6 linked regions of the Oryzias latipes genome follow. The protein of the gene in region 1 interacts with the protein of each later gene in a pairwise test. Links are inferred from orthologs where the notes say so. Each region holds a gene or a part of one and is shown in the gene's direction. Other genes may lie near its edges. The genes, in order: exosc8, poldip3, transcription factor AP-4, dusp23, exosc10 and otud4.

Evidence for each region.
Region 2: the proteins of exosc8 (region 1) and poldip3 interact in a two-hybrid assay, tested with the Homo sapiens proteins (2 studies listed by BioGRID). The link is inferred for Oryzias latipes from reciprocal best matches to the Homo sapiens genes EXOSC8 and POLDIP3.
Region 3: the proteins of exosc8 (region 1) and transcription factor AP-4 interact in binary tests that used the Homo sapiens proteins (3 or more experiments, as listed by UniProt). The two-hybrid records come from large-scale screens. The link is inferred for Oryzias latipes from reciprocal best matches to the Homo sapiens genes EXOSC8 and TFAP4.
Region 4: the proteins of exosc8 (region 1) and dusp23 interact in binary tests that used the Homo sapiens proteins (3 or more experiments, as listed by UniProt). The two-hybrid records come from large-scale screens. The link is inferred for Oryzias latipes from reciprocal best matches to the Homo sapiens genes EXOSC8 and DUSP23.
Region 5: the proteins of exosc8 (region 1) and exosc10 interact in binary tests that used the Homo sapiens proteins (3 or more experiments, as listed by UniProt). The link is inferred for Oryzias latipes from reciprocal best matches to the Homo sapiens genes EXOSC8 and EXOSC10.
Region 6: the proteins of exosc8 (region 1) and otud4 interact in binary tests that used the Homo sapiens proteins (3 or more experiments, as listed by UniProt). The two-hybrid records come from large-scale screens. The link is inferred for Oryzias latipes from reciprocal best matches to the Homo sapiens genes EXOSC8 and OTUD4.

The regions. Positions count from the first base shown.
Region 1 is NC_019872.2:10,272,755-10,276,817, forward strand, and holds exosc8 (exosome complex component RRP43), read left to right. Parts: upstream 1-1,263; 5' UTR 1,264-1,318; coding exon 1,319-1,335; intron 1,336-1,605; coding exon 1,606-1,642; intron 1,643-2,021; coding exon 2,022-2,085; intron 2,086-2,173; coding exon 2,174-2,247; intron 2,248-2,435; coding exon 2,436-2,481; intron 2,482-2,861; coding exon 2,862-2,967; intron 2,968-3,063; coding exon 3,064-3,109; intron 3,110-3,181; coding exon 3,182-3,278; intron 3,279-3,423; coding exon 3,424-3,544; intron 3,545-3,619; coding exon 3,620-3,726; intron 3,727-3,812; coding exon 3,813-3,931; 3' UTR 3,932-4,027; downstream 4,028-4,063. Other genes in the region: alg5 (dolichyl-phosphate beta-glucosyltransferase), read right to left, coding at 268-333. UniProt on the Homo sapiens protein: Non-catalytic component of the RNA exosome complex which has 3'->5' exoribonuclease activity and participates in a multitude of cellular RNA processing and degradation events.
Region 2 is NC_019866.2:20,055,970-20,060,079, forward strand, and holds the start of poldip3 (polymerase delta-interacting protein 3), read left to right. Parts: upstream 1-1,310; 5' UTR 1,311-1,367; coding exon 1,368-1,435; intron 1,436-3,301; coding exon 3,302-3,408; intron 3,409-3,486; coding exon 3,487-3,914; intron 3,915-4,110. Other genes in the region: protein FAM234B, read right to left, coding at 219-255. UniProt on the Homo sapiens protein: Is involved in regulation of translation. Is preferentially associated with CBC-bound spliced mRNA-protein complexes during the pioneer round of mRNA translation. Contributes to enhanced translational efficiency of spliced over nonspliced mRNAs.
Region 3 is NC_019866.2:11,221,437-11,225,679, forward strand, and holds the start of transcription factor AP-4, read left to right. Parts: upstream 1-1,443; 5' UTR 1,444-1,748; coding exon 1,749-1,837; intron 1,838-3,241; exon of another isoform or gene 3,242-3,528; intron 3,529-4,176; coding exon 4,177-4,243.
Region 4 is NC_019880.2:1,140,717-1,144,736, reverse strand, and holds dusp23 (dual specificity protein phosphatase 23), read left to right. Parts: upstream 1-1,488; 5' UTR 1,489-1,762; intron 1,763-2,351; 5' UTR 2,352-2,513; coding exon 2,514-2,783; intron 2,784-2,932; coding exon 2,933-3,118; 3' UTR 3,119-3,403; downstream 3,404-4,020. Other genes in the region: afadin, read right to left, coding at 3,404-3,595, 3,804-4,020. UniProt on the Homo sapiens protein: Protein phosphatase that mediates dephosphorylation of proteins phosphorylated on Tyr and Ser/Thr residues. In vitro, it can dephosphorylate p44-ERK1 (MAPK3) but not p54 SAPK-beta (MAPK10) in vitro. Able to enhance activation of JNK and p38 (MAPK14).
Region 5 is NC_019865.2:9,473,456-9,476,955, forward strand, and holds part of exosc10 (exosome component 10), read left to right. Parts: coding exon 1-2; intron 3-83; coding exon 84-152; intron 153-231; coding exon 232-337; intron 338-413; coding exon 414-487; intron 488-3,500. UniProt on the Homo sapiens protein: Catalytic component of the RNA exosome complex which has 3'->5' exoribonuclease activity and participates in a multitude of cellular RNA processing and degradation events.
Region 6 is NC_019876.2:3,217,331-3,221,410, reverse strand, and holds the start of otud4 (OTU domain-containing protein 4), read left to right. Parts: upstream 1-1,280; 5' UTR 1,281-1,744; coding exon 1,745-1,885; intron 1,886-2,089; coding exon 2,090-2,173; intron 2,174-4,080.

The DNA.
Region 1 (4,063 bases):
TTCTGCCTTTTTATTGTTTGTTTTACTCCGATTAAGGAGCTGTATTTACATAATAATTTCCCCCTCCATTGTATATTAATATTTCTATTTTGATATGACACGTTTAAATAAAAGAAAATGCAGCCATCATGCATACATACACACACACCCACACACACACACACAGAAACCATGGAGTACTAGTACATACATGTGAAAATCGCTATCTTACACGTGCTAAGAAGTTAGTTACATTACTAACAATGTTAAAACTATCCATACACTTACCACAATGAAACCAAGAGCCGCTAATGCGACGAGAACTTGAATAATTTCACAGATAAAGTCCATCATGTTTCCATAAGTCGCCCTACAGCTCCTAACTAACACCTACACCTGGCTGGCTGTAGCTAGCTTTTCTTCTTTGTCCCGTTCCGTATCCCAACCCTCTAACTTATAACAAAGGTGTAAACGAAAATATATGAAATATAAACACTGAATCTCTATGAGCCCATAACGCTTTCAAGCTCCACTTCCAATCAGAGCTGTACACAAAAGCAACACGGAAGTAAATTTTACTCCTCGACACATCATCAGTTTGAAGCAGAACTCCACATGACAGGCTGCGAGAAATGCATACTGCCACTTACAGGCGTGGGGTGGTACTGACACTAGCAGGTTTTTAGTTTGTTTGTTTGAACAACCAAACAACAGGTTTTGTTTTTCATGCATATATTTTATGATCATTGCTAACCCTAACGTTTGAAGCAGCAATGTCAAAGTCTGAAAGACAAAAAAAGAAAAGACTAACCAACAACTATAACTAAAAACTGAAAAAGAAAAATAATTAGATTAAAAATTGTCAAGCCTGTAAAAAAGGGTTAATGCAGTTTTATCATTTCTTTATGGTTTAATGTAGTTTAAAACCAAATTAATACAGGTGTTAACAAAATGAATATAATAGAAATAATATTTATATTAATATCTTTTTAAGATGACACAAAATCAACAAGACAGTAGTAATGAAATAAATAAATCCCCAAATACGAGAACAGTTTAAAACTTGAAGGAAAATCTGGAAGAAAAAAAACAAAAAACAATAAAACATGAATGGTAAATTATTAAAAGCTTAAAGTAGCACTTTCTTTATTAGTTACTTATATTTTTGGAAATTGGATTTGGGTACGCCAAAAAAATAATACAGTAAAAAGCGGATCTTTATCGTCCCTAAATTAAAAGAAGAAGAAGAAAAAAGTGTTCAGGTTCAGCACAGCATGGACGAGGTTTTTTCCCCATTGCGGCTGCCGTAGCACAAACCCACGTGTTGTACCAAAACATCATGGCGGCTGGATTCAAGTCAGTATCTGAAAGTTGTTCAGGTTTTATGTAATTTACGGCGTTTTTTTCGTTTAAATTAACTTTTTAACTTTACATAAAGAAAATGAATTATTTGCTGTACTTTAAATCAAAGTGGAGAAATCACAAAGTCTAGGTTATGTCCGTTAGTAAATTGGGTTTCTATTTATTGCCGCTAAGAATTTATTTTTTATTTTATCAACATAACACTAAACGTACGTGATTTTGTACATGCATTTACCTTTTCTGTCTTCCCTCATGACTGTTTAGGACCGCTGAACCTCTGGAATATCATATGAGCTTTCTGGTTTGTCCAATTTTTTATTTATGTATTTTTTTATTAGATTGTCAAAATATGGCACACACACACATTCACATAACTACAACAGAAAGAAATAAAAAGGAAAAAAACGTTAAAATTGTAGTTCACAATACTAGGGATTGCCATACAACATGTGATCTTCAATAAAAATGGACAGTTTTATTGCGTTTTTGTTTTTCATTAATTTCAGGGAGTTGAAACATAAACAAATCTCTTAATGAAATGTATTAAATGGTTTGCTTTTTAAAAATCTGCTGTTATGAATTAAGAACTTTCCAGAAATTAATATTTCAACTTTACTGTAACGCTGTAATGTTACACTCATATCAATTTGAATCTAAAACTTTATTTATTTTCCCCATAGAAAGAGAACTGTCGACCAGATGGACGCGAGCTGTCTGAATTCAGAACCACGACATTGAATATAGGTGAATTGAAGCACCACAAAGTTGCAGTGTTTATGATACAAGCAAACAACAATCATTGAGCACTTTTCTCTTTTGGGTTTGTGTTCAGGGTCCATATCCACGGCAGACGGCTCTGCATTGGTGAAGCTGGGAAGCACAACAGTCATCTGTGGCATCAAAGCTGTGTGTTAACATGTTATTACACTGAAACTCACTCTTAATAATTTATTCCAGATGCCTTTGTTTTAAAAGGTGTACAGTTAAAAAATAAAACAGATCTATGTGAATATTTCTTAACCCCCCACCACTTCTTTCAGTGTTTGTACATTTAGCAAGTTGTTTCCTGTGTCATACATTGATCTATTCTGCAGGAATTGGCAAACCCTACAGTGGAAGCTCCTGGTAAAGGATATATTGGTAAGTTTTTATAGATAAAAATAGTTAAAGATACTTTATCGATGCCAACTTGTTAAATTTGTAGCAGTAGTGTGCAGACCTTAGCTTGTACAGAGAAGCAACTATCAAAAATCAATGATGAATGCAGCGTATCTCTGGCACAAAGATGAGTTAAACAGTCCTATGTCGTGGAACAGGAATGAGCTCCTTTAGCAGTCATCGTAGCAGCACTTGGAAAGGCACTCAACTGTCCATCCAGTACGGCAGGCAGAGGATGCTCAGGATTATCCATGATGGATACGAGTTTGTTCTATTTTTAGCTTCAAGGGTTGTCACTGAAAAGCACAAGTTTTTAAGTGGAAAAATAATCCCAATCATTGGACTTTTCCTGTTATTTATAGTCCCCAATGTAGACCTACCACCCCTCTGTTCCTCGCGATTTCGGCCAGGCCCGCCAGGAGAACAGGCCCAAGCTTCCAGCCAGTTTATCGCTGATGTCATCGAAAGGTTTGTCAGAATTAAAAACACTACAATCTCTTTACTCTCATCAGTTTATCTGCATTTCTCCCAATGGTTTTCACCAACTTCCATCCACCTTTGCAGCTCTGAAATAATCAAACCAGAGGACTTGTGCATCGACAGAGGAAAGGTAAATCCAGACTGATGCCGTTTGTTTTCACTGTTGGTTCACTAGCGGTGAGTCTATTTATCCTCTTTGCAGCTTTGCTGGGTGCTGTACTGTGACATCATGTGTCTGGATTATGATGGAAACATTCTGGATGCGTGCATCATTGCTCTGCTGGCTGCACTGAAGAACAGTACGTCATTGTTTCAGTAAAAAAAAAAAAAAAATAATTAAAGTTATTCTGTACATTTTAACCAACTAATCCGTGTTTTAAAATTGAAAATTGCCCCGAAAGGAGTCTATCAACAGGCTGATTTTGCATTTTTCACTTCCCACAGCTCGTCTCCCAAAGGTCACCGTCAACAAAGCGACATGCAAACCAGAGATAGATTTGAAAGAGCGACACGAGCTGCCGGTTCACAAACATCCAGTCGGCACCTCGTTTTGTATCTTCCAGGAGTACGTTTTAGATATTGTTGCATTTTCTGGGTTTGTTGAAAGCATGTGTACAAACCAAGCGTGCTCTTTGTGCAGCTCCATCCTGATTGTAGATCCCACCGCTGATGAGGAGAGTCTGTCCACATCGCGGCTCAGCGTGGTCACAGATGAGGAGGAACGACTCTGCTCTCTACACAAACCAGGTCAGACAGGCCGTGCAGTGCGCTTCCGGCGATCAACACAATAACTCCAATCATACGGAGCTGAAACCCGGTTCTTTGCGCCTCAGGTGGGACGTCCCTGTCAGCAGAAAAGCTCCAAACTTGCATCAACCGAGCAACAGCACGACAAAGAGAGATCCAGAAACTCATCGAGAAAGTTCTAAACAGCGTGAAGGCAGCACAATAAAGACACCCAGACCAAGACTTTTATCTAAAAGCTGTATTTTCACTGTCAATATATATGTTCTTTTTTTTTTAATAACAATAAAACTGCTGACAAAGACTGCTTAAAAAATTATTTCTCAATATTCAGAAACCT
Region 2 (4,110 bases), on another chromosome or scaffold:
ACTGACCGGTAACCCCCCCGCGAGAAACTGACCTTCATGGTAGAATCATAGAATGACGACATAAAAACGAGGGATATTTCGGTAGAACGTGACGTGGGGATTCAAAAAGTCGGTTGTATGGATTTAAAGCTAAAAGCGGCACGCGCCTAGCGTCTGTCATTCAAACACGTAACCGGACCGCTTTGCTGACGATCCGTTGGAGTCCAGCATCATCTTACCGGGCAGTTTGAGGGCGCGGGACAGAGCCGCTGCCATTTGTCCTGTCCGCCAGGTTCCGTTGCGAGGGAGCTGTGACAGGCAGCTACTGTGCTGTGCACATCTGATCTGTTCCAAGCACGGTGCATCATGGGAAATTGAGTTAAATACCCTCGCAGGCATTGTGCGGGCAGAGATAATAATTGTTTTACAAAAAACACAAAATTGGGGGGGGGGGTACATTGAATACGTCATAATCTCATTTTTAAAAATGGATTTACATTAAAAATTGTAAACCAGTTAAAACTAGTTAAAAGAAAGTCAATAAATGAAACAATCATAACTTGAAAGAAAATTACCATTTCCCTCAACTATTTCCAGTGTTAGATGGATTGTTAATTATCATGAATCATCAATGTGTCTGCATCTTCGATTTAAAGTACATGTATTGAGTAATTATGAAAATAATGTGTTTAATAGGGTTCCGGGTCGGGTGATATGAGTAGTTATATTTTACATTTGGGGAAGGGTAGGGCAGACCCCAGTCCCACGAGGCATCTCGCGAAGTAAGCAAGTCACCTCAGCAGGCAGGCCTGTGCCCCGTCAAAAATTCCTCTCGTATTGTGAACGAGGATACGGGCGTCACCCCGCATCGTTATTTTCCTTACTCATCAGTTTAAGGCATACTGAGACAACGTCCTCACAGCAGTATAGACACAGTGCCAAAGAACTCTCACTCATGGTTTTCATGCTACCAATGTAAACACAGACTTAACATCGACTTAAAATGTTATATAATAATAGCTCATCAATATGATCGACGATCTAATACATTCCGTAGTCAAGAACAACTTTAGATACACATGCATTGGATTTCAATGCAACAGCGCAATGGTTTGTGGGTAAACTATTTGGGCGTGTGGGATTTGTGCTTAAGGTATTTGTACTTTAGGTTCTTTCCTGTACACTATACTTCAGCAAAATGTATCTTAAAATATATTCACTAAATTATAAAGGAAGTTTTCATTAAGTACAATTAAATTTAGTTTGAAATTTTGATGTTATAAACAATATTTGGCATGAATTTTGGCCTAACTCATTCCCCGTAGTACTCCTTGCGGACAACTTTGTCTTGAAGTGGCGCATGCGCATAGTCAAGCAAGAAGAAGAAGATGGCAGACGTTTCTTTGGATGAAGTCATACGTCGGCGCGGTATTAACCTCAAAGTTCCTGTTAAACGGTACCTACAAACACTTTAAAGTAAAGAAAAAAATAGAAGTTTATGATACTAAACAAATATTGAAATGTGTAAACGCAGCATGCACATTGAAAGCTGTTTGTCGACCAGTGAGCACCGAAAGCTCCAGCTCGCATCGTGAACGCTAAGCTAAAGTAGCATTATTGCTGTGGGCCTTCGGATAATAAGATGTTAATCTCACGTTTGGTAATAACTTAGAGGTTATTTAACCAGAAAAAACACTTGTTAAGTTTTGGTAGTTATAAGAAAACGTAAAAATGAAAAGAATTGTTTCGCTCTTATGTTTGGTGGATGTGTGTAGTTTGGTAGTAGTTGTGCTTATAGCGAAGCGGGGTTTCTCCTCATAACTCTTAAGGCATGCAGTACTGTTTAACGAATGGGCTCTTGTTTACTTACCTGGTTCCTAGGTATAAATCCGTGTTGTTTGATTGCTCAGTTGGTGCTGGATGGCCTTACGCAAGCAAAGTAAATAAGTAAAGTAGCTTTAAGCTGGGTAGCCTCGGACACGTTAGCAAGGTTTGGCTAACGTATAGAAATAATTTACGCCAAAAGATATATAAAAGTAGCTATTAATTTTACTTTCACAATTGCTTTTTTCCAACCACTAGTATTTCGTGTAAGTTTGGTCAGTGATGTCTTTTTGTCTAAAAAGTTATTCCCTTTTCCTTTCTCCAATGAATTTTTTTCTTCTGATGTGTTTCATTCTCTTGTGGTATTTATTTTATCTGATGATAAAGGACATATATTAAGAAAATTAAGCTTAAGTTGCTGCATTTATGAGGATTTTTATATTTAAATTGTTGTGAATCAGGAGCAGACAAACAAAGGTTGTTGCAGTGTCGTAGTGGGCCACAAGCTCCCTGCTGTGCTCCATTCTGATGCATCCACTTGTAGACAACTACATCCATGTACGTCTTCGTTTATCTTCATCCAAGCTGGCTCCTGGCTCAAAACTGTACGACTGGGTAGCTTCAATTTTGCTTACCATTTTTGATACACCGGGGTGTGTGAAAGGCTGTAACTTAGTGGAAGTGAGTGTAAAGAAGCTGATGATGGGAAGTGGGGCCTGGCTTACTTCCAGCCAACAGTCCAGAACACAACTCATAGGGGAATTTCTAATAAACTACTGCTGCTCTGGAGAAAAGGATGTCCCAGAAAATGACACAGGTTATTTGATTTTGGCTAATTACAACATAATCGTTACTAAAAGACGATTGGGAAGGCTTTTACAATAGATGGAAAGATGATTGGAGAGTGATTGGAGCCAAATATAGACCATTTTAAAGAAAGCTTTTTTTTTACATCCCATATAATAGTTAACTTTAGTTGTTGTCATCAATCTAAAATATTGCTTAATTGGTTTTGATTTATTTTATTACATTTATAGGGTTTCTAATGTATTTTTGAAATATTTTCGAATTTCAAAAGATTAAAATTATTACTATATTATTACTAATTATTTGTAATATGGCACGATTCACTTGCACACCAATTAGTAGCAACTGTTTCTTCCTCTGGTGTATATGCACATATAGCAGGCGTATGGTCATGTGTAAAGGGATGCAGAACAGATGAAGCCTGCCCACTCGTTATTTGCAAACAACCTTTTTTTTGGTGAAAAAATTTTTTTTTGGTCCTTATTCATTCTAACCTTATTTTCCTATTGTTGCGGTTAATCAGAATCTGAACTTTCTTTATTGTCATTGGGGTTAAAATAATATATAAAAGTCAGGATCTGACATAAAGATACTATTTAAAATATAAAATACAAAACAAATGTAGTACACTTGTGTGGGATTGTCATTTCTAGGTTGTGCTGTTTGTTGACATGGCTCATCTTGTCCTCAGGCCTCCATTTGGACGGGGTTTAGGAGGGGATGGGAAAAATTTTGATGCCAGACAAATCATTGGAACAAGTGATGTGAGACAGCGGCTTGGCGTGGGAACAACAAAGGGTAAAGCTCATCTTAATGTTTGATTCTTGGATGAAATGTTTTTTCCCAGATCCTCTAAAACAAACATTTTCATTCCAGGTTTTCAAGTAAAAGATGCCAGAGAAAAACTTGTCCAAAAAGACGCCCGTTTTAAAATTCAGGGCAGGGGAGGTGCATCAGCTGTGCAGGACGCCCGGCAGATGATCACATCCAGAAAGCAGGGGCAGACGCTCTCCAGCATCCCTGCACAAACGACGCTAAAAGCAGTGATTTCACAGCAGCTGCAGAGCAAAACTCTGGTTCCTCCCATACAGATTCAAACCGTCAGTCATTTTCCTGGCATCAATGCGCGGCAGTTTAGCTCTGCTGTACAAGGACTGAGTGCAAGAGGCATCACTGCACCGCAGCTGAGCAACAATGGGAGAGTGATGGATGCTCGCGACAGGCTGAGCCTCAAGAGGAGCCTTGGAGGAACGCCGACACAATCAGCCATGGCTCCACCTCTAAAAATTACCAAGACCATACAGGTGAGGGGCCGTTGTTTAGATCGTGAGCAGATTTGAAGCAAAGTGACATCAGGGGTTCCCACAAATCACTCAATGGTTTCCTCTTTTTTTTACATTTCATTTTGATTTCTGGAAATTACTTTTACTTTTCTGGAACCTTTTTTTTTTTCTTCTTTACAGAAACTGGAAAAGGTAGATACTATGGGACATTGCTGAT
Region 3 (4,243 bases), on another chromosome or scaffold:
ACTATGGTCCTTGTTTTACTATGTTTTTAACTTTTCATTCAGTAGTACTTTTAGCAGGCCTTGTTAATATTTACTACCTTTGTGATTATTTCTGTGAGAAGGGCTGTAGAAATGAAGATATTCTATTCTATTATTGCTTTCTCCAGAAAGACTATCTTTAATGAGGAAATGAAAAGCAACTTAAAAGTTGAAAAACACATCTTTATTCATATTGCAAAGATTTGGATGACAGAACATCATAACATCATCAGAACGTCTCTTTAAAGGTAGAATTACATTGTTATTATTATTATTAATAGTAGTAGTAGTAGTAATTTAAATCTTGGCAGGATAGTCATGTTGTGACTATCTTCACTAAACTGTACTTATAAATGGTTTACGGATTTTAAAATGTGTTTGCCTTTATTTAAGTGTAAACATTATCCATGCACCCTGCAGCTGACCTATGTTCATTCTTTTTCATCTTACCCACAAAAAAGATTCATGTTGATGTGTGATATAAGACTGATGTGTTTAGAATTCTATAAAAGCTACAAATCTCGTGAGGCACCATGTAACCTAACAGTTTATCGAATTTCTTCCTTTTTTTTAATTATTTTACCTTCTTAGTTTTGATTACAGAAATTACTTTTTATTATTCTGAGTCAAATTTCTCGAAGAATAAAACATTTACTGTGTTTTCTATGTTTTTATTAATACCATTAAGGGTGCCTTTCCTACATTATTATGCCTGAAAGTCCTTCTCTGACGTAAACGCCTTCGTATTTCTGCAGCAGCTGCTGCTGCGTTCACGTTTCCGGATGCCGCTCGAAATTCTCAGCTCCCATCTTGAGCCTGCGCCGAGGGCGCGCCGCTGCATCACACACACACATTCGCTCAATTAGATTTTAATGACTCTTCGCAGCCAAAATGGTGAAGTACATGCGTGTGCTGCGTGTGCCGCCGGCTTGTCCCCCGAAACCCCTCCCCCTGCCGCGCGCGGCGCCGCCAGCTCGTCAGCTGATCTCTGTTGTTCGATTATCGCAGCTGTTCGAGTGTCCGCCCCTGCGTGGTCCCGCTCTAACGGCGTAATCAGGGCGCAGGTGACACTCAAAGTCATTTCTACCGCACATTAATGAGTAATTATGAAAAGATCAAACTTATTTCACCAAAATTTAATTTCCTCTAAAGGATTTAAACCGTGGAAAAAGAAAAACGTGTAAAAAGAAAAACAAATGTCCATGAAAGCATTTAGTCATAAATATGATGTATCTATTAGTCTATTAAAACAACGTTTATTCATTTTTCATAACGCGCGTGCGTTCTTCACGCGGCGTTAGTGCGATAAATAGTCCTTTGTTTACACGCAGTCCCCCCTCTCTGCGGAAGGAGCTTTTTTTTCTAGTGCGGTGTGTGACTCCTACCAGCTGTTTCCCGCCTTGAAAGCCATCCGATCAGCTGCGCGCACACACACATCTACACACACGGCCATGCAGGGGGAGAAAGCAAGGGGGAGGGAGCGAGAAAAAGAGATGTAGAGCGCCACACACACAACGAGGGAACCCCATCAGCTGGAAGTCGAGTAACATTACAACTCTCAGCAACCTCAAAGAAGTGTATCAGTCCGACCAGGGATTTGTCTTTTGACTATACCGGCGGGGGACTATTTTTTCTTCCCAGCGTTTTGCTTTTTTTTTTCAAAGGATACTATATAATTTTATTTTATTTTTTACCGGGGGAGGGGGGGACCAAACTGGCGAGAAGGGAGCATGGAGTATTTCATGGTACCAGCTCAGAAGGTGCCCTCGCTGCAACATTTTCGGAAAACGGAGAAGGAGGTGATTGGTGGTCTCTGCAGGTGTGTACACATGCGCTTCAAATTATTTATTTTTTTGTACGCGTGAAGATAGTGCGCGCACTTAGCCATGTTGTTAGGGCTGGGCAACGTGCCTGATCTGATGTGTTATTGTGTATACGACCCTCTCCCGGGGACACGAGGGGGTGAATGTGTTTCAAAAGCAGGGATTATCATCTCGCCGGACACCTGGAGGTTCTCGCCCTGATTTAAGTGTCCCTTATGTGGAATAATTTTGCGCGTTTACCACTGAAATCGAAGTATTTTGTAGCTAACAAACATTAACCACGTGGTTCGTGCACACCACGCTGCTACTCCCCTCTAGAGCGCATCCCTCAACTATTTATTTACCCTCTAATAATCTTTTAGTGCCGCCTAAATGTGCTGGTGTATCCTACAAACACGAGATATTGGACCAGCGACCGCATTGTTGTCGGAAAGTGCTGATTTACGACGCCCTCGTCGTGGCGGTTGCCAGTTTCGCTCCAAGCAAGCCGAAGTTATTGTGGGTAGTGCGGCCATGCTTGTGGCTTCAGCTAAAAGTGAAGGGTTTGCCGTTGGTATCGTTATGATTCCTAGACTACTGCCCGCTCTTTTAGTGCAAATTGGCAATTCTTGTTACGGCCTTGTTACTTTAATAGGTGGTGATTGAGTTTGTGTAGCAGCGCGTCCTGTTCGCTGCCTCCACTGCGTCTTTTTTCATCCCGTAACTACCTCTGCCATGCTGCCTGCCGCATTGTTGTAATGGCGGAGGACAAGAAAAGTCTGCTCGGAGCGGGAGGTTGTGGGGAACATTCCTGAGAACGGGCACTATTGAAGGCCTTCAAAGACAGATTTCCCCCCACATGCGTCCGGCAAAGGGCATTTGTCGTTCGCGGGGAGGCATGAAAATTAAAACTGGTGTTATTAATAAGGGGGTGTGTATGTCGCGGAAGGCCCGTCGATACGTCCGCAGCCCAGTGTGTAGAGGGAGGCGGAGGGATCTTTAGCTGTTGCTGGCAGAGCGCGGGAATTGTGGGTAATGGAGTCTTTTATTTTCAATCCGTGAAGTACCCGTGCGGAGATTTGCCAAAAGACCGGGGGGGGGGGGGGGGGATAAATTTATACACGTTATATTTATAATTTGTGCCATTTGTACTTGAACAATGATGCGGTGGGTTTTGACTATTAATGTTATCTCAACATTTGTAATTACAAAGGGTATTTCAAAGCACCAAACTGTAGTCTTTATCCTTTCCTTGAATTTTTCCTAAATATTTTCGTTTTTTAGATAAAATAAATAAATAAAGTTTAATTACATTTGAATACTGCCCTGACTGGTATCACTATTTGGTCACAAAAATTTCCGAAAGTAGTCATCTTGTGACAAATTTAACACATTTTTTCAAAAGTGTTTCATTTTTTTAATAAAAGTAATATAAATTGTATCTTTTATGACCCTTTGTTTGGTACATTGAAACTTTTCTCTAATTTTACCATCACACGTGTCTAAGCCCAGTTTTTTTTCTCTCGTTCTGACTGAATTAATTAATTGGATGTGCTGGTGCAGGACTCCTGCATGTGTTTGTATCGTTGCACACTTAGCATACTCAAATACAGTTTTTTACATCTGTGTGCGTACAATTGTTCCCTGTGTTTGCATTGAGGCAGCTGAGTCACTGCAGATAAGAGTGCAGCAGAATATAGTCCCTGAGGTTGGTTAATAGAGGAATTAGAATATTTCATTCAAACCGTTCCAATCCTTTCTTTGTGGGATTGGAGGATTTTTCTCCACAGTTTAACTGTTTAATCAACTTTGCATGACCCTATTTGAATGCCCAAAGCTGTATGTCGGACCTCCCTGGAAAGACACGATCCACATGATTTCAACATGTTTGCTGCTTTAACCCTTGTGCTACCTTAGATGACCCCACCCTTACATTGACATGTTCTCCCTACCATGACAAAGGTGGATAAAGGTGGAGAGATTTAATGCAATCCACGGAAACCAGGGAAGATCACAAACCATTGAAGAAAAAAGGTTCAGCGCACTGTCTAGTGGGTCTAGATGACCCAACTCCCAACGTTAAAGTGCCTAGGATAGCACAAGGGTTACGACACGCTTGGGTAAGGTCTGGAAGGCCTTTCCGACAATTTTCAGTACTACTCCTCAGATCTGAAATGAAGTTTAGGTGGTATTTAAAAACTAAAACAACTCATGCACACAACATTTTTCATCAAAGTTGATTGATGATATTAAATACAATGAATAGCCTTACAATAGTCCATCCTGGCTTTTTTTTATACATTTTTTAAAACTTTCAATATCAATTAATAACTTTGTTCTTTATTCCTTCTTCCAGCCTGGCCAACATTCCTCTGACCCCAGAAACAGCCCGGGACCAAGAGAGGCGAATTCGCAGAGAGATC
Region 4 (4,020 bases), on another chromosome or scaffold:
ATGGGGCTTTATAGATGGGCTTCCCACCCCCTCTTAAATCAAACCCATCAATCAATTAATCAATCAACAAACCAGACAAACAGGAAATCGTTCTGTGTACTAAATGTAAAAAGGATGCATACGACTGAGAACATGAATCAATATGAAAATAGTTACAAATGCTGCAGAAAAATGCAAATCAAATCAAACGTTATTTATAAAAAGCACTCCTCGTGCTTTAAGCAGCTTAAAGTGGGCTAAAAACAAAACCAAAACGAGTTTCTTCTGTCTAAAAATATACGTCATCAAATGTTAACATTTTAGCTTGATGACCTGAGAAAAACTTAAGAAGTCTAACGATCAAAGAGATGGAAGAAAAGTCAAGAATCTTACATTTCATGTCAAACATGTGCAACAGGAAGTTAAAAGTGGAGAAGGTTGAAGGAGAAAAAGACCTTTTGATCGTCCTTCAGAGGAAAACGGCGTCGCTGCACAGCAGGAGAAAACTTTTCTGAGGAAGGAATGTCGCTACTTTACGTTGGTGATTCTTGCTTCAACAAGCAGACATTTCCTTCTATTTTAAACATGTACAGGTTTTTTTCTTCATGTTCTTCACAGGAATCCACAGACTTTGTGTTTTAACTTTTGTCATAGATGTTTCTACACATGTTCATGAAATCAGTCTGAATATTTGGTAAAAATGCGTTTGCTGCCATCTGCTGGTCATGTCTGTTATGTATGGAGCTCTAAATTGCTCATAATAAAAATAAAATAAATATGACCTTGTTAAAAATGAATGTTTTAAAATGCTGTTTTAAAATAAGGACAAGGTTTTTAAAGCAAAATGAAATAATTTAAAAATATAATGGCTAATTCAAAATATATGTGCAGGTTTTTCACAATTTCATGACCTTTTCATGAATTTATGAGGGGTTTGTTGGTTGATTGTGTGATTGCACGAGGTCACTTTTATCTTTTAAATTATGAACAATTTGGGGCTCCATAGAAAAAGGAATTTCAATACAAAGGAAAATTCAGGAATACATTTATGACATTCTAATCATTTAAAGCCCACAAAAGCTTATTTGCAGGGATTAAAAGAAGGTAATTACAAGAGGGAATCGAACCTGTCCACTATACTTTTCAACTGTGTTAGAAATTTAAATGATTTTATTGTTTATGCTTAAAAACAAGCTTATTCAAAAGACAGAAAATGTAGAAATCTTCATAATGCAGTCAAAGAAGAATTACGTGCAGGGAATGTGCTCCTTGGTGGGTTTTCTGAGCACATATGAAACCCTCTTTAATAGTAACAGTTGAATGGTAAAAACAAATCAAATTTCAGGTCAATAATGACGGAAGTGAATTTATAAAAAGGTTTTCATATATGGAGAAAATGTAATGTCAGAAGTGGGATTCGAACCCACGCCTCCAGGGGAGACTGCGACCTGAACGCAGCGCCTTAGACCGCTCGGCCATCCTGACTTATACAGCCTTGGTGCGATCGTCTAATATGAAGCTCAAAGACTAGATGTACTGTGATGGTAAAAAGTTGTTTCCAGGCGGACTAAATCTCTAAATCTGTACTAAGTCATCGTACAACGCCTTTAAATAATAATGGTATCCATAGCAACCAACATACGGGCACTGCCCACTCTGGTTAACCTGTGTGAACCTGTCTCGACGGGAAACTTTCTTGGTAACCCTCCGCTGTTGCACTGAGGCGGAGGTTTACAGCTAGCTTCCCCAGCGGTTAGCAGCTCAACTTTTCTTCACTCCAGCTGTAAGTAACTTCATTTAAAGAACATAATTAAGGTTTGTTAAATAAATGAGGATGTTTTTCTGTCTGACTTCATGTCTGTCAGCCTCCACAAGCAGCGATTTATGCTAGCGAGTTTACAAGCTAACTGTTAGCTACATGCTATCCAGTCATTCTCATCGGGTTTCATGATTTTTATATCAAAGGTGGATTTAAAATGTTATTTATTCTTTGTATAATGCCATTTGAGAAGTTAAATTCTGCGGACACAGACAAAAATCCCATTACACTTTTAACATAACTCAGTCTGTTGACTTAAAAACGAACTAATTTTGCTTAATGAGGCAGCAGTTGACTGTTTCAACCTTCTAAAAACAGTTTTACAGTCAGTAAGATTTAAGTTTTCTTCTTAATGTATTTTCCGGTACAGTCCTATAAATGTCTTCTTTAGGTTATTCCGAATATTTTTGTTGATTCTTTTATCATATACTTCACAGCAGCAGTTCTGCAGATTTAAGATACTGTCAGTCATAAACAGACTTTTATGGCCTAAACTTTGAAAAATGGAAACATCTCCACAAAAATGTGTTCCTTTTTTCTGTAAACCTGGCAGAGCTGAGATTGTGTGCCTGGAAAGCAAAGTCCAAATGTTTATCAGCAGATTCCTCCCAACAGTTCAGGATCATTTCCCGGAAGCGCTGAAGGAAAGGCCGACCACGGACACGGACGGCTTCCTGCAGCTGCCTCTCGGTTCCTCCTCCCTCCTCTCAGCCTCATGGCCTCGTCTCCTCCTCAAAACTTCTCCTGGGTGGAAGCGGGGCGGCTGGCCGGGCTGGCCATGCCCCGGATGCCGTGCGATTACCGGTATCTCTCAGACAACGGCATCAAACACCTGGTCTGCCTCTGCGAGAGGAAACCTCCCAACCACGAGGCCTTTCCAGAGTTGCAGCTTCACCACATTAAGATCGTCGACTTCACTCCTCCATCGCCGGCCCAGATCGATCGATTTCTGTCCATCGTGGAGGAGGCCAACGCCAAGAAGGAGGTAAGGAGGTTCCTGTCTGTCTCTTCGTTCTCTGTGACCGCATAAAGGCGTTCCCTTCCTCCGTCTGGTGGAACCCGAATGTTTAATGTGTGTAAACAAAGCGTAGCTGGGCGTGTGCCGTGCTCAGTGGTTGTGTGTTTGGTCGTCAGGGCGTGGCCGTCCACTGCATGCACGGCTTTGGCAGAACCGGCACCATGCTGGCCTGCTACCTTGTGAAGAGCCGCAAGATTTCTGGGATCGACGCCATCAACGAGATCCGCAGGATGAGAGCCGGGTCCATCGAAACCACGGAGCAGGAGAAGGCGGTGGTCCAGTTCTATCAGCGCATCAAGTGACCTCCTCTACGATGAAGGACGGCCCCCTGAGAACAGGTGATCCGACCCGGAGCTCTGGTTTGGGGTTTCAGACGTCCTGTCAGAGGCGGCGAACGCCGTCCGTCTGCTGTGGTCTCTGGACTCATGCGCTGGACGGCGGGGAGAAGAGGCGCTGACGCTCCCTGAAGGGGAGCTTCTCCGGGGCCGAGCTCCTCCACAGTCTCTCCTTCCTGAAAACAAAACTTGAATTTTATTTTGAAAAAATGTTTTTTACTCAGGATCAGTGGTGCTGATGTTTCCATGGACTCACTCTGCTGGTGTCGGGTCGTTGGTTCTGTTCTGTTTCAGTCCAGTTCCTGAGAGAAACACCAGAACGTTGTTCATGTTTCTGAAGCCGGTTCCCATTAAACCGTTCTCACCTGACGTCGCTTCGTCTTCATTTGGAGGATTTTCCTCCCGGTTCCGCTCGCAGTCTTTGTTTGGATCAGAACCGTTCTGCTGTGAACCATCAGACAGAATCCATGTTGAAGCTCTTTGACATAATGATGAAGGAAACTCAAACACGTTAGAGATTTGAAAACTTTCCTTGGTTTTGTTGCATCAAACTGGAATTAGGCTCTAAATTGTTCATTTTTATTGACTTAATGATTTTTTTGGTCTGGAAGTGAAGACGACCAGAAAACCCTCAAAGGTTGACCATCTTCACCTGGACCTGTGACGTCCCGTTCTTCAGGATCTCCTCCTCTTCCTCCTCCTCCTCCTCCCCTCTCTGAGCCTCCTGCAGTCTCCTCTGGAACTGCAGCTCCAGGCTGAGCCGGCGGAGTCGGTCGTTCTCCTGGGATGTCCGCTGCTCCTTCTTCTGAAGTTCCTCCACTTCCTGCTGCAGCCGCTCCACCGCCAGGAGCCTCTGCTGCTTCCTCAGC
Region 5 (3,500 bases), on another chromosome or scaffold:
TGGTAGGAAATGTCAAGAGCTTAACCTTCACAATTCTTTATTTGTGCTTTGGCAGAATAATAATTTATTGCTTCTTATTCCAGTATTTACCTTCCACCGATGTGCATGTCAACAAGAATGCCAAGTTTGACCCATCCTCCAAAATATTTGAGGTACCTGAAGAGCTTTTTTGTGAAATATATTGACCGCTGTTGTTTTTAATGTGCTTTGCTTACTTTGGCACCCTGACAGATCAGCAAAAGGTGGAAACTGCAGAGCATTGAACAGCAGCAAAAAGAGTTAGAGGCTAAGCAAAAAGCCAAAGAGGAAGCAAAGCAACAGGCAAAGAAAGCCTCAGGTAATTGGCTTTTCTTTTCTACACATTACCTTTTCAAGCATTGTTTCCTCACTTTTTATCTGTTGAATTCTCTCAGAGAAAAGAACGAAGACTAAACAAAGCTACCAGGAGTCTCTTCAGAATGTTGCCACTGTGCGTCAGCAGGCAGCAGTAAGTCTTTTTACATTTCCTCGTTTCTCCGTTCATTTTGTTCTTTTGAACTTCAGACAAGCACCTCAGGTCTGTGTTGGAAGGCATGGCATATTCTTTTAGCTGGATTCACTCAAGGGCCCGCAACAGCGTTGAAAGGACAGTAGGTTTATGACTACTTTAACTCTGTGTGATACTTTATATTTTCCCAAGACAGTGAGTCCCCATCAGATGAACGGGTCTGCAGAAACACAGAATGGGGGCCATGTTAAATATTCTATCCTATAGAGGAGGAAAAATGTACAGCATGTGGGCTGGGTGTTATAAAAGTGTCTCAGATTCATTGGACACATTTTTGTTCCTCTTGAGTAACAAAGCCTCTTTTCTAGGAACTAGCAGCCTCCTGCTGCTAGTTCCATTCCTCAGGGGGTATTACTTGGCTTCCTTTTAGTTAGTTACTCGCACCCCCGCTGTCATATTAAACTTTTCTGATTTCTTTTCTTTCCAGTTTAACACTTCAGTTAAGCCTTTTACCACAGAGCAAAGCTTTTTGTCCAACTGCTACAGATAATCCTGGTGGTCATAAATCAGAAAATTTGGCAGCTGCACTTGAATGTCACAGGTGTTACTGTCCAGACCAGTGTTTTTCAACCAGTGTGCCGTGGGAGATGGTCAGGTGTGCCGTGGGAAACTACCCATTAACTGATCTAAAAACATTTCCCATCTCCAGGATATCAGCTCTGTGTTCATCCAAACAGGCCCTGATAAAACTGAGTAGTTAGGAATGTGAAAGATCGTAAAAGACTTTTACTTTGTGTTTATTTGATTCTTTTAAAGACATTTTGCTAAGAATGACGGTACCGTGATTTAGCCGTAGCTTCAGCTCTGTTTTCGGAAAAGTCCCACCCCTTTAACTGTCTCCACCAATCATTCTTGGAGGCTTAATCATACGTCATCAGTCTGACCAATCAGAAGTGGTTAAAGTCCAGACTTCCTTGTCCCGATTTAGCTCATAAAGTCTCTCAGTTCCAACAAAAATACCAGCTAAAGCTCATCTTAAGCGGTGTAGCTTTCTGCACGATCTGCTGTCAGACCGTGGAGCAAGTGAACAAAACAATGAAGCTCAGAGAGTGTCTGCGATCGGCGTCTGTTTCACACTACACCTCCCATGATGCATTGGGTTAAAGTGACAGCGTCTCAGTGAGTCCTCCCTGTTAAACGTCTTGAAACCACAACGAACCCACATCAAACCGTTTTTAAATCTTCTTGATGAAATCAGAGGTCAACAGTTTAGTTCTCCTTCAAGGTTTGTGTTTATTAACATCCAAACATCCCAGAGTTTGGTCCAAGTCATCTTTCTAACTGAAACACTTTTCTAATGAGGTCTGGATTATTTTATATGTCATTCTTTCTAAATCACTATTTAGAAAGAATATATTTCGTTTTTTGTGGGGTTAATTAAAATTGCATGTCAGTAAACTGAAGGGAAAAACAACTACCAGGGTAAATTTTCAAATAATTTAGTTCAAAATAATTACTGAAAACTAACTTAACTTTTATTACATCTTTTAGAAGAAACAGCTGCAACTTCCAGCTTTTTCTGCCACAATTATCACAACAGTGCATATGAGATTGCAGAGAAACTGTACATCAAACAGACTATAGAGTTTCTCCATTTTTCAATTTTGGATGCTGGTGTGCCGCGGGATTTTTTGTCAAGGATAAAGTGTGCCTTTGCTCGAAAAAGTTGAAAAATACTGGTCCAGACACACACTCACTTCCGTCTGCGGCAGCGTTCAGTAAGGATGCATCGATTCACTTTCCCAAAGGTTCAAACCTCGATTTTTAAATTGCAGTTTTTTTTCGGTGTGATATAAACTAAAACTCAGAAAAAACCTTCGTTTGATTTGCTAATAAGTCACCTGACATGGGTAAAAAAAAATATTTTTTTTCCCACAAAATAATAATTTGTTCCCACACAGTAGGAATTTGTTCCCACAAAATATTTAAATATTTTACTTCAAATCTCGTAATGTTATTTTTTTTGTTTTTGTGACACTAAAACTCTGTTGAAGCCTGAAAGTTTGATGAACACAGAGCTGATGTCATTGCAATAGTGAATGCTTTTTACACTGATTTAGGTGAAATTAGATAACTTCCCATTGCATACATGATGATCTTTCATGGCATACATGTGTACCGCGGCACACTGGCTGAAAAACACTCATCTAGGAAACCAAAGAAGGGCCATAGCCGATGACGTATGTGATGGACGCCAGCAGAAGACGGGACCAATTTTATTTAGTGCTTTCAAGAATACCTGTGTCCTAAAAGAGAAAGAAGTGTAGATGATTTAGTTAAAAAAACAAGCCAAAATAAGAACAGAATGGAAGGTTGACCAACATTATGAAAAAACATGGATGCAGCCGACTCGGCTGTACAGATTGTCTGAATCACCGGCTCCCTTGTCAAGGCTACCTAATTAAAACTACCCAAAAGAACCAATAAAGCTTGTAAATTATAACAACCAGGGTACATACAGTGTGCCACCTGTCAGCCACTTGCAAATATTGGCTGTTAGCACACTAGTACTTTCAGCTAGCACCTCTTTGCCGTTCGGCTCTCATGGCTGGTTTTTCAAAAACACAGATTCACTAATAGCTCAGAAATCTGTTCACAGGCAGCACTTGTTTTGTTGTCCTTGTTGTTGGTTTTGCCACCTGTTACATGAAGGCAAACCTCAAAGGTGAGATGTAGCTCACAAAGCTTCCGAATTAGATTAGGAAGAGAATAACAGCCTGATTTTTTTTTTCCAAAACGTTTTATTCACAGTGACTGTTCTGAGTGTTTTACAGATGCACAAACGAAAATATTTTTTAAAAAATTAACCCATTACGATGAAACAAACTTGGCTAAGCAGCATTTAACAAATAAAAAAAACAAAAAAAATCAGAAAACCCGAATTCCCACCTGAAATTTGTGGTCTGGAAGAGTTTTCTAACATTTTAAATGTTTCTCTATGGTCCACTTGTGT
Region 6 (4,080 bases), on another chromosome or scaffold:
CTCTGTGGCAGATTTCCCACCACTTTCCCCCCCGACGCTCGCGGTTTCCTCTGCGCTGACCCAAAAAGAGGAGCATGGAGTAAAACCTGCTGCTGGTTTCAGTCCCTGCTGGTTTGCAGGCGTGTAAACATAAATCAAGTGGGAAACTAAAGTCAACACAACCAATCAAAGCCCGAATGAGAGCGCTGCAGGTGTGGAACATCAGGAACCAATGAGAGCCCTGCAGATGTGGAACATCAGGACCCGATGTTTTTACATCAACCTTCAGTCCGTCACAGCATCAACATCTGAACCCAACGGGACACAAGACGGAAATGCAAACGAGATGAAGACCCCTAAACTTAAACAGTTGGTAGAGCACCGCCCCCTTGTGGTGAGAAGAGGAGCCTACAGCCTCTCCCAGCATTTTTCTGCTTCAAAATGCTCCACAAGGCTCCCCGATGAAAGCAGCAGCAGACCAGAGGTCACGTCCCAGACAATGTCAGCCAACACCCAGACGGTCTGCCTCACAGCGCCACGAACGCTCGGCAGCCAAAATCAATGCTGCTGCGGCGCACAGAGGTGATGAGGATGAGGATGAGAAGGCTTACTGGCCCTTTGATGGAAACAAGACCAATAAGAACCAAAAGGAAATTTCTTGATGCTTAACTTTTACTCTTTTTTTTTAATTATCAGACATTTGTCTGCTGGATGAGACTTAAGGCTCATGGTGACACGTTTGAAAACGTTGAAAGGGAAGAAAAAAAGACTAAATATATTTGTAATTTTTCCAAAAAAAACAGACAGAAAAAAAGAAGGGAAATGAACTTTGAATTAAAACTTTAGATCCATTTATTATTATTAGTAGTAGTAAAAGTAATAGCTGTGATAGAAGTAAAAAATTATTTTTTAATGATTTGGTGTTTCTGCTTTTCTGTGTTTTGACTTTAAGTGACATGTTTAGTAAATCAAGGAAACTAAGTCAATACATTTTAATATAACAGACTTTAAGAGGTTACAACACACCCAAGGTCGCTCTTTAAAGTTAATTTTCACGTTTTTCATTCGTTTTTCTTACTGTTTGCATGTTTTTATGATCCCTTCTTGTTGATGCACCTCTCACCATCCTGTGAGGGGTCACCACGGCGAATCAGCTTTCATGGATTCGCACAGGGGAGAGATTTTACGCCGGATGCCCTGCACGCCTATTTTTGAGACTTTTATTTTGGTAAGCGTCACCGGATGTTTCAGAGTTGTGAAGTGGTTTTACTTTAAACTCATTTCAAAAGCTGTTGCATTCTAAATTGAGTGGTTATTTTTTATAGAATTACAAAATCGGACGTTATTTTTCTTATTTTTTTGAACAAAATCTTTTTAAGTGTTTATTTTATGTGATATTCTTCGCTGGTTGGGCTTTTATTTCGTGGATAAACCGGAAGTTGGGCGTGTCACTGCGCAGTGCTTTACTCGGCAGAGCAAAAAGGGGGCGTGTCGTTAGCCGTTAGCCCCCCCGATGCTAACCTCGCAGCATTAAGTTTCACTTTCTGCTGGTCGGGAAAACCCGCAGTTCGAAACGCCGCTTCCTCGGAAACGAAACCTGCGGCGGTCGGAGTCGCGTTTGACCGCTTCCGCCTCCCAAATGTCCGCCTTGGAGCTCGCGCAGCGGCCACATTCGGAGCTTTGAGCCCGCGGCGCGTGAAAGTTTTGCCCCGCCGGCGCAGGCGGCGTCGTTCAGCCGCTAGCTTCGGCGGCTAACCCCGCTAGCATGGAGAGCTGCGGAAACATGTCGAGCAGCGAGGAGAGGAGTGTGGAGAAATCCATGGATGTCTACCTGAAGTCGATCGGTCTGCACCGGAAAAAGATCGCCAAAGACGGCTCGTGCCTGTTCCGGGCTGTGGCGGAGCAGGTAAAGTTTGGAAAAATAAAACTAGTTTGGCTAAATAATAATAATAGCAGCTGGAATTGTTATGCTAACAATATGAAGAAACGTCCACTGGAACTTGAAACACTGACGTTTATGTACTTTTTTGTAATAATGTTTGCGGCAGTAAAACGTATTTTAAGCCGTGAAAATGACGCCTGTCTTCCTGTGACCTTTGACCCCGTCCAGGTGCTGCACTGCCAGAGCCTCCACCGTGAGGTTCGAGCTAAATGCGTGGACTTCCTGAAGCAGAACAGAGACAGCTATGAGGCGGTACGTGACCCGCAGCCCCCCAGGCTGCTGCTGGGCTTTGGTTTAGCCGAGTGTGACGTCACAGCTACTGACAGTGAAGGAAAAAACACTGTAAATTTAAAAAACAACTACAGACTTTTAAGACAGCTTTGAACTGTAAAGTGCAGATTGTAAACTGAAATAATTCGCACCATAAGTTCCCTCCTCTGACGCCGTCGTCGTGGTGATGATGCTCTCCCAAAGTTTGGGACATCAGACGGCGGAGGATGCAGGCGGCGCCGCCATGTCCATTATGTTCTAGTAGCCAATGGGCTCAAAGCCCCGCCCCCACGTCAACTGAGGATCAACTCCCAAAATTCAGAACTAAATTGAGGATAAAAAAATACAAAGCAACAGATGTTATTGAAAAAAAACAGTTTTTTTAAATCTAGTAACACTTTTAGGTTCATTCTTGGTTTTTTCTGTTCAAGTATTTCATTACTTTTACATTTTCACAAGTTTACCACGTTGAGTTTAAAAATGTTTTTAAATGTAAATAAAAATCTATTTTTGATCACTTTTGACCCCAAAGCTGAATCCTGCAGTAAAACGGCATAAATGCACATTTTAGCCTCCAAGAATGTGTCTAGAATGAAAAATATGCAGTTATGAATTCACAATAATATTTGTGACCATCAGGTCTGTTTCCCTCTGACTGTCTGATGTTTACTTTTCCTCAAATATTGAAAAACAGGAAAGAAAGAAAATAAAAGTGTTAGTGACACAATATAAAAGAAGAAAAATGAACAAATATACCAGAATAAAGTCAGACATGAAAAAAATCAAAATGTTACTAAAATAAAGCTAAAGAGGGTCATAAAATCAAAGGTCTAATTTTATAAGAATAAATGCATAAAATGATGAGAGTAAAGCAGTGACTTGATGCTTCATTAGTCATCGTTTTTCAGGGAAAAAGTCGTTCTTTTTTTTAAAATAAAATGTTTTGTTAATGATCATTAAACCTGTTTAGTTTATGTACGGCTGAATCAGCTTCTCGTTTCTGTCAAATTCCTTTTAATAACTATATATTTTTAAAGTGTTACTTTTTCTTGTAGAATTCAGTCTTGTTAATTTAATACATTTACGATTTTATTCTCGTAAAGGTTTTACCGTATCTCATATACTTATAAAAAGTTGTTCTTGTTAAATTTAGCTTTTTTCAATTTTTTCCCTATAATTTTATGATCTTATTCTCATCACATTTTGAATTATTTCTTATCATTTTGCTACTTTGGTTTGATGATATTTTGACTTTTATTCATATATTTTTTATGACTTTATTTCTATAATTTAACAACTTTAAGGACAAACGTTGGCATTTTTTAAAATTAATTTTGGGATTTTGTTCTCATCAAACGTTGACTATTTTCTTTTATAATATTATAATTTTTTCCCCTAATTTACCAACTTTATTTTCATAAATCTAATAAATTTTCTGTTTTAAAAAACTTTAGACATTTTCCTTTAACTTTACACATTTATTGCTGTTAAATGTTGACATTTTTTATGTTGTTTTTGGTTTTATTGTCATATTTTCATTTTCTTCTCTGGTGGCCCAAAAACTCCGTCACAGCATTTTCAGATCTCACGTTTTTCACTTTGAAATGATGCCGCTAAACGCCTCACATGAAATAAAAATGATTCTTCTGTCTGACGATCCAAATGTATCATAATTAGAGACGGAGAGCATCAGGAAGTCATTGAGAACGGCGGTAAAAAGCCTATCGTTGAGTTTTAAACCGTTTAAAGGAAAAGAAAGTCCAAATCTTCTGGTTTAGGAGTCTTGAATAAAAGTTTTCTGGTTCTGAAAACCTCCTCAGTACATTTCTGCTGTTTGCAAAGATCCTTAAACGTTTGTTAAAGTTGTTTTTGATTGGATGTCAGCCTGA